Schizosaccharomyces pombe: one gene and its partner. The gene in region 1 interacts genetically with each later gene. Each region holds a gene or a part of one and is shown on either strand. Other genes may lie near its edges. The genes, in order: dip1 and wsp1.

Region 1 (4,300 bases):
ACTATCAGAAGAAATCACTACTGTCAAAAATTTGCATGTTACAGCCTATGTAGGTGATTCAGAATCGAAGGATGTAGCTTTACTCTATAATGTTTGTGAAGGAGCTAGTGATCGGAGTTTTGGAATCCATGTTGCTAAACTTGCGCACTTCCCTCCCAAGATTATTGAAATGGCAAGCAACAAAGCCGCAGAATTAGAAGCTGAAGACTCTGGAGCCCAAGGGGATACTCAAGAAGTGAAATCTAAAAAAGAAGGTATGGCAATTGTACGTGATATAATGAGACAATGGCGTAGCAACGTCAAACCAGAAATGACTCAGCAACAAATGATGGACCAATTTCAAAAAGTCATCGGCTCATTCGCACAGCAAATCAATTCCAACAACTGGCTACAATCCAGGGTATCCACAAATGAGGTTTCCTCATGAAGAATGTGAGCAAGGTACTAATTGAAAGAATTCAACCAAGGTACATGTTTTTTGGAAGCGCATTTTATGAATAAAATAATTTTTTACTAAAACGAGGAAAAGCCATAGATCAATGAATTTTATAACCCAAAACTGTTTCATTTGCCATAATAACCAAATAAAAAGATATAAATGGGAAACGAACCACTAGTTTTCCAATTAATCACAGCTTGCACAACCATTACAACCTATTTTCATTAGCAACTGGTAGCAATAGCACTTCTTTACTTACCACAATGAGTACATCTCACACGTTGATCTTTATCAAGTTTTGATTTAGGTACACGACATATACACGTTGAACCAAATTTTGACTCAGCGGTTTGAATACAGCGCAGACAACAAAGTTTCTCGTATCCTGGTTTTTTCCATTTGGCGATTAAATTTCCATCGGCATAATTTTGTTTTAGCAGCCAGTTGTAAAGTTCGGTAGATATGGCTTCCCGTTTGTAGTATAAATCGTATATATAACGACTGCGCTGATGATGAAGTTGAAAAATCGGTGCTAGCATTTCCGTCTTAGTTCCCTTTCCCATTGTATTCTCAATTTGACGCATACGATCTTGGAATTCAATAAGGGTGGGTTCTATTTCATCAAATCCGTCAGGAGGGCTATAGCTAATTAGAATCTTACTTCGTAGGTAAAAATAAAGGTAACAAGGAAAATACTTGGTATACATACCGCTTGGTTCTTGACGTTCGAAGACGAGGCATGATAACAGAATATTTTTTAAGCAAACTACGACTTTTCTTCAATAAACCAACACAGAATAAGGAATGCTTGCTTTAAAGAGATTAAATATAAAGAAACCGATAAAATGAAATCTAGTGATGGGTAGTTTTTATCCTTTTACTTATTTGGTGGTAGTGTACTTATGGGCAAGTTGGATTTGTGAGAATCCAGTGTAAATTCCTTGTAAAATAGACTGCCGCGATTGAAACTGTTGCAAGATATTCTTAACTATAGAAACTAAGTTTTTTCTCCGTTAATTAAATTATAGCCTCTTCAATTGAGGATAATTGAGAATTTTTGAATTTGTGTCTCCACTATATTTTATACCTTAACATATGGCCAAAAGGGAACCAGATGCATTTGTATACTATAATACTACAATACTGTTTTCATGGTATAACATTGACGCTCTGTTGTGTTGACTACTAATCATATATTAAAGTTGATTATCGATGGATATTAGCGAGAATTTTGTCTATTGAATACTAGGCTCGATAATGAGAAAGCGGCAATTAAACCTTCCCTAACCTCCACATGGAGTTCACGGATGTGTTTTATAATTTAGAGAATGAAAAGCAATTTTTGGCGGGTATGCAATTTATTCATAATTGTAAACTTGAATGTGCCTGGGATTCATTATCCTGGCTAAATAGTATTCCCGTTGACGCTAACATTTGGTGACAGAAATTGACGAACTTTTAACTATACCATACGAAAAAAATGAACTGGAAATTGGTGTTTCAAAGTTTCTTTCTTTTATCAACAAATATGGAGGTAATGTTTTGGAGAATTGGGGAAGCACAATTTTCCGTGTTTTTCCTATGGATGAAATACAAAGAAATTGAGTGTTTGTCTCTTTATAGAACATCTTATCTAACAAAATAAATTCAATAGAACCGTACCTAATTACAGAATTCCAATTGCAGAGATGTATGGAAAAGTTCCTCAATAGTCCGCTTTATCAACTAGACGAAAACGCCGTTTTAAGTATTTTCTATGATTGCTTTTTTTTCTTGAAAGAACAACAAACTTTGAAATTCATAATCATTGTCTTTCAATCCGAAATTCAAGAGAATGAGTACTGCTTGCGTTTGTTGGCTTCTACGGGGTTCATTCCCGTCTTGATCAAGGCAATGAAACAGTTCAAGGATCGTTCAGAAAATGTTGCTTTTACATCTTTTCGTTATGCTTTATTCTTAGTGTACTATATTTGTCGCTCGAGACGACTTTCACCGACCGACTTAGTCGCAATTGATGAATATTTTTTAGTAAACCTATTCAAAACGTCGGAAGAAGCTTGGAATGATGAGGACATGGACAGTTTTGGAATGTGCGTCTTGACATTGCTTAGCATCAATGAACAGTTTATGCTTGTTCGGCTTGCTTCCAAAGGTTCGTTTGAAATCGCAAATGGCATAATGGATTTGCTGAGCTCTTCCAAAGTGGATAACGGTATCTACAGTGAAGGCCTAGTTTTCACTCTAAATCGAGAAAAGGATCCACGCTCTCGAATGTTAATACTAAAACAACTATTCCTTCTTTTTACAACTCCCGCTACGTATGAGATATTCTATACCAATGATCTCAATGTCCTAATTGATATATTCATACGCGAAATAAACAATATTCCCGATGAGCTTTCGGATCTTCGGTATGCATATTTGCAAGTTTTGATTCCTTTGCTTGAAAATACACAGGTGCGCCATCCACCTCATTACAAAACTAAGTGTATAGTCGACGCGGTCAATAATGTCTTAATTTCTCACTCAAAAAGCAGCAACATGGAAGATGCACGTACTACAGATGTTGCCATACGTGTTTTAGAAGTACCGTGGCTTCAACAAGAGATGAAGTCATTAGGAACCGCTCAATAATTTTTATTCTACTACTGAAAAACTTTTTATTTTTTTAAAGCACCTCACTCGTTTCCTTCATTTATTGTCAGATCAACCAAAAAGAATTGCAAATTTTAACCAATCTCCTTTCCACTCTTTTTTTTAATACTTTCTCTCTCCTTTTGCCAGTCTGTTGTTTTTTGAAAAGCCAGTTTTGGCGTATTACTTCTTGCAGAAAATTGATAAAACTTGGAGAAATTTCTTTGGAATGCAAAGAAAATGCTAAAAGTTTAAACACTGCAATTTTCATATCAATGAATAGAAAATCTCTAGTTAGACATATCCATTGCAAAAGAAGAAGTGAAGAAAATTTTTAAATAACAAACGTGAAGAATGGCATAAACTAATATAGGAATGCTTAATTAATAATACCCCTATCAATCATCTAACATTTTCTGTAACTTTCGGTGATCGTAAATGTGCAAGTTAGACAACGTAATTTAGATTCATCGTCGTCTTTGAAAAAATAGGTGATTATTCGTAAACACAAAACTTTCTTTTGAAAGGGTTCAGTTAAAAATTTCACCATCAAAAATGAAAGAACAGAGTAAACAGAGGAAGGGCAGGAAAAAAAAAATACCGCTTTGTTTGATTTGCCAAAGTTGAAGATGAGTAATAAGTACTTAAGCATAAAAATGAAAACATATTAGGATGGGGGAAACCTAGATGCAATGAGATTGTATGAGAGTATTCAGGAACAGCTAATTCAACTTTTTTGCGCCTTGAGCCTCGAGTTTTTTGATAGCTTCTTGTTGCTGATGCTGTTGAACTCGAAACTTTAGAAAGTAATTGACCTAATCCAGAAAAACAATGTTAGTGAGAAAGAAAAAAAGAAGTAATGGAGATCTTTAAGGTAATAATTCAAGAGAATTGCAAAATCGGAATTTCTCGTTTCATTTCATACCAGCCAGATTTCATTTACAATTTTGGCGATTCATACCCAAGATTTTACGCAATCAGTTTCGAAAGCGGTTTTTTCAGCGGAACAAGCCTGGGCTGCTTTTGTATCATCTTTCAATCCATCCAAAATGGAATGCCTATCCAAACAACCAAAGTAAGCATCTCTGGCTTCCCAGCATTTTTCTCGAGCACTTCTTCGTAATGCGCCGTTACCAGCCATGAGTTCGTAACAAAGCTTGAATAATAAATTTCAACAAGGCCGTTTGGTGATGAGTTTTACGAATAATAGTTAAAATGTACCAATCG
Region 2 (5,073 bases), on another chromosome or scaffold:
GGCAGTCAAGGATTCAGGACCAAGGTTGTTCAAAATGCCAGGCAAAATCTCAGACAAAGTCTTTTCCTCTGCTTTACCATAGATAGCTGTAGTTTCATTAGGAAGCGAGGAATGAACGGTAGGTGCACGGAAATTAATGACTCCGCCATCTTCCTTGAACATGTTAACCTCTTGGATGCCAGCAAGGTTTTGCATATTCAACTTTTTCAAGGCACCTTGAACCTTCTTGTCATCAGCAGCACTCATGGCAGACTTAGAAGGCTTCTTCACCTTACGACGAGGGGTACCCTTTCCACCTATACAATGATAAGTTAATTAAGCAGTTCTCTATGAAAAAAGTACAACTGTGTTTTCAATAGCCAGCATCAATTACAGTGGAACCACTTTGAAACCGTTCAAGGCATTTCTTAGAGCTGGTGTCAACTTCAAAACACGGGGATGCATTCGAACATACCAATACGAGCGCCAGCCTGCAACTTAGCCAATTTGGAGGGATCCATTTGTTTCTATTTGACCAAACGTTTTTGGTTGTGGAAGGACTTGAACTTGACGTTTCTAAAGTTGTGGTACCGAAATGTGTGACTGCTCCCATACTTACAATAAAGTAAAGATACACACTGTGTTGCGATATATGAATAGTAATATCAACACAAATTCGCGTTATTCAATTTAGAATAAATGGTGTTTGCTCTAATACAATAAACACAAATCCAAATAAAAATAGTGAAGTCGTTTAACAAAACTTTAAAAGACTGTGTGAATCAAAAAAGTATAGGTAATTTCAAAGATATTAATAACTAGTCCCACTCATCGTCGTCTTCATCCTCTTCGTCTGAAAGAATTAGTAAACTTAAGAACTTTTGAAAAAAAATACGAGAAATCCGGACATACCACTCTGAGCGACTTTGGTTTTACGTTGGTTCAAAGCGCTTGCCAATGCATCCATAAGATTGTTAGAAGGGGGTGCTTCTACCGGAGGATTCGAAGTTTTTGTAGATGCGACACTAGGAGAAGCAGATACTTTCTGGAAAATATTAGTACGAGTAACCATTAAGTAATAATATCAATACTTACCCTGCTTTTCAGTAAATCCATACCACCGCTGGCTCTGATACTGGCCATTAAATTAGCACGGCCGTCTTGTTGAGGCAATTCAGCTATCGAAGCAACAGGCGCGGCGGGCGCAGGAGCTGGAGCTGGAGGAGGAGCTGGTGCAGCGGGAGGCAATGGTGGAGCAGCTGGCATACCAGCGGGTAGAGGAGGAGCAATTGGTGCACTAGGTGGTAGGGGGGGAGCAGCTGGTGCGCCCATAGGTAGAGAAGGTGGTGCACTGGGGGGCAAAGATGGAGGTGCACTAGGAGGAAGAGAAGGAGGTGTAGGGACAGGAGGTGTGCTTGTTCGTGATGCATTACCAAGAGGGGGAAGTGCAGGCGCAGAACGACCAGGAATAGCTGGAGGAGGGGCTGGTGGGTTTGAAACTGCACGAGATGAAGATAAAGGGGGTGGTTGTCTCCCAGTGGAAGGAGCAGACCTTGGAGGAGGTGGAGGAGGAGCAGATCTACCTTGAGGCGGCAAAGGAATTGAGCCAGCAGCATTAGATCTAGGAGGTGGTGGAGGTGGAGGAAGAGACGAGTTAGAAGAACCATTACCAATCGGTGGTTTACCACGATTACGACGGGATGGAGGCGGAGGCGGAGGAGGTCGTTTTTTGTTAGCAGCTAGAGCTGCCGCACTGACTCTTGAAGATGGTGGAGGGAGTGGAGGTTTCGAGGTGGAATTAATAGCAGGATTCATCGAAACAGGAGCGATAGGACGGGGAGGGGAGTTAGGAGGAGAAGAGACAGTTCCATTAGATGGAGGTGGAATTGGGGGAGGAGCAGGTGCAGACAAAGAAGGAACACGCTCTGGGGGACGAGAGGAAGGAATGCTTGGAGGGATGGGAGGTGCAGAAGTACTGGTAGGTGTACCAGCTGATTCATTAAGGTACGCTTTGACGAAATCTGCGTTTTCAGCAATTTGATCCTGGGAAATGCCCATCTTCATTAGAGAATCAATTAAGCTCGGATCAAGCGAATTTAAAAGCTCGGGCTCATTGGGACTTTTAGATCCAACAGCATTATAATTTTCCTTTCCAGGTACAGGAGGAGCAGCTGAGGGAGGTTGGATATTGCTGTTGTTAGGCGCATGTCTAGAAGAACCTTTTCTGGTAATAAATGACAAAACCGGATTCTCAATTGATTCAGGATGGCAACCTTTATCTAAAACCTTTTTGTAAAATTTTTGAGCGTCTGTCTCGTTTGCAAAACTAAAACCTGCTAGGCATTTATCAAGCTCGAAAGAATGAAAAAATGTACGATCTTGGCGATAGTCCATATTTTGATAAAGCTCTTGGTCCCATATTATACCACTATTATTCTAAAACGTTAGAAGGTTATAATTCAATTAAATTGTATACCACTCTTTGTAGTTTGCTTTGAGTATCAAAGCTTCATACACATACCACAACGTCAACCAGTTTAAACCAACAGCATTTTGCTGTTGTATCATAGGACAATACAAGAGCACCACAAAGACCTGTATAATTCCATTTGTTCGGATCAGGATAAGCTACATATAGCTTGACGACGGCTGCTGCAATGATTTTATTTGTGCTTTTAGGTATGTATTTACGGATAGTTGCCTTATCCTCTTGAGTTATAGAGGAAGATGGAGGCATTTGAATTTTCGGATTGTAATGCAATTCAAAAATTGCTGTCTCACAGTGGTATAAGTGGTGTTTTGGTTCCTCCCGTTTGTTAGCATTTTCACTGTAGTTAACAAGCCAATGAGTGATAATTAGTGTAGTATACTATACTACGCTATGTACTATAAAAATTTGCAACGCACTTATTAGCAGCTGGTAAATTTTGCTAATTATATTAACTGTTTATAGATTAATAAAACTTGAGACATTAATTCGGGTTTAATATTTTTTACATTCTACATACTTATCGTCCTCATTGTAAAGAGGTAAATAAAATTTATTCAACCATACGAAGTTTGCTTGTCTCATAATGTTAGTTTATTATAAGATTATTAAAAAAATGACTTAATCATAATCATTAATTATTAGAAAAAAAAGGGAACATTAAGAAAAAGTCATTCGTGATGTTGAGGATAATAAAAAGACTCTCGTCCGGTAGGAGTAGTATAACTACATAAACAAACAGTGCGAACTCAGATGTATGGCTACTTATTAGAATCATCGAATGAAACTGAAGTAACAATACCGGAATTTTTTTTCGAACTTAATGGGTCGTTACATTGTTCGCACATTTCTATATCTGTTGCAAATGATGAACTACTGCTAGTCTCATCATCTGACTTTGCACAAAGTCGTCTCCGTAAAAGGTCAATATCTCTAGGATAAAACAATTTTTGTAAGCAAATATAGGAAAAGCGAGGCAACAAACATAAGGCAATGGTTAAAACAGTAACACACCAAAAGCCAAAAGTTTGACAAGTTCGCGAAGCTGATTTGTGGAAAGCGTAAGAGGGGCCAACTTCTGAATAAATAAATGTCCATATCCAAAATACACCTATGCTGAACATCCAAGTAATAAGTGATATTAAATTCAATCTCTCTTGATTCATCAATATAAAAATGTTGATTACAAAAATAGTAGGAGAGGATATAAAAAGTCCTATGTCTTCTATACACTCGATGTTCCTTCCAGTCCAACTTACAAAATCACCAAACTTAAAAACAAATAGAGCTACCCCAAAGCATACCAATGATTGATATATTCCATCTAGCATGTAAGACCTAAAATAAATATTTAGCAAACAGAAATCTTCAGAGTTATACTTACCAAAATCTCTTTCCGTTCCATTCTAGACCTAAAATTCCCCGTTGGTATAAGCTTGGATTTTTCATTGAAACAGATGCGTCAACGTCCTGGTCAAAACAACCTGCAATAATTACGGGTAGTGATGTGAACAGCAGATTAAAAAGCATCACGTAGGTATAATCAAATATGTAGTTTCCATCAAACTCGTTATAAAATTGATACCAAAAAAGTATAAATGTCCAAATAACATTTTTGTAAAAAAAGAATGAAATCATTTGAGACATTCTTTTATAGTCCCATCGTCCATGAACTAGAAGTAGTCGCCCTAGGAAAGAAAATTGACCGATGGCATAATCCGCCGACATTGAAGCTGCTTGCCCTTCAACGCCTTTTATCCCTACTCCAACGTCGGCTTCTTGAATCATCGAAACATCATTAGCGCCATCTCCAATTGCTAAAGTGACAACATTTAGACTCTTCTTGACTAAAGCAACAACAGCTGCCTTCTGAGAGGGACTAACCCTGCAGCACAAAACTGTCTTACACTGCTTACATAACATTAAAAAAAGAAAAGAGACCTGTTCAGACAAAACAAAGTTCAGGGCATCCCCATCAATAACTATGGCGTGTTTCGGAGATGGCGGACTGTGGTCTTTCAACAAAAATCTGAATTCTTCATCCGTTCCCATGTATCCAAAATTAAAGCATAATGTGTTTCTAATAAAAGCTTCTACTTCTTCTAAGGCACCGAAAGAGTTTGCATCAATTCGAAAAATAGTCATGTTTGGATCAAGAAGATTGCATGAATACCCAATGTTGATTGCCGTTTCTACCTTATCACCAGTCAACACCCACAACTTAATTCCAGCAATAGCCAAAAGAGCGATAGTTTCTGGTACATTCTCTTGAAGTTTATCTTCAATTGCTGTTCCACCGAGTAATTCAAGCTCTTGCTCAATCATCTCTGAAACTTTACTGACCTTTTCGTTCCGTTCATGAATGGCACTATTAGCTTCGTTGAAATTCACTTTCCATTCAAGATAATCTTGCTTATCAATAGTTCGACGAGCGATACATAACGTACGAAATCCTTCGGATGAAAATGAAGCTAAATGCTTCTTCGTCTTTTCAATGATATTGTTTTGTCCGCTGGAAAGCCTTGGAAATATTACCGTATCCGCACCTTTACAAATTAAATGAATTATACCATCCTCATCACGAATTATCACGCTCATACGCTTTC

What was found.
Region 2: mutations in dip1 (region 1) and wsp1 are lethal when combined (synthetic lethality), as found in Schizosaccharomyces pombe (one study listed by BioGRID).

Annotation. Positions count from the first base shown.
Region 1 is NC_003423.3:2,340,584-2,344,883, reverse strand, and holds dip1 (endocytosis protein Dip1), read left to right. Parts: upstream 1-1,713; 5' UTR 1,714-1,733; coding exon 1,734-1,788; intron 1,789-1,883; coding exon 1,884-1,973; intron 1,974-2,093; coding exon 2,094-3,073; 3' UTR 3,074-3,482; downstream 3,483-4,300. Other genes in the region: msh2 (DNA mismatch repair protein), read left to right, coding at 1-427; cwf14 (G10 protein), read right to left, coding at 626-654, 699-1,078, 1,149-1,180; coa6 (cytochrome c oxidase subunit VIb related protein), read right to left, coding at 3,796-3,888, 4,035-4,214.
Region 2 is NC_003424.3:4,860,733-4,865,805, forward strand, and holds wsp1 (actin assembly factor), read right to left. Parts: upstream 2,776-5,073; 5' UTR 2,717-2,775; coding exon 2,501-2,716; exon of another isoform or gene 2,416-2,500; coding exon 1,075-2,415; exon of another isoform or gene 1,025-1,074; coding exon 892-1,024; exon of another isoform or gene 833-891; coding exon 798-832; 3' UTR 521-797; downstream 1-520. Other genes in the region: btf3 (nascent polypeptide-associated complex beta subunit), read right to left, coding at 1-296, 455-500; SPOM_SPAC4F10.16C (P-type ATPase), read right to left, coding at 3,229-3,805, 3,852-5,073. UniProt on the Schizosaccharomyces pombe protein: Has a role in regulating actin assembly, so regulating polarized growth.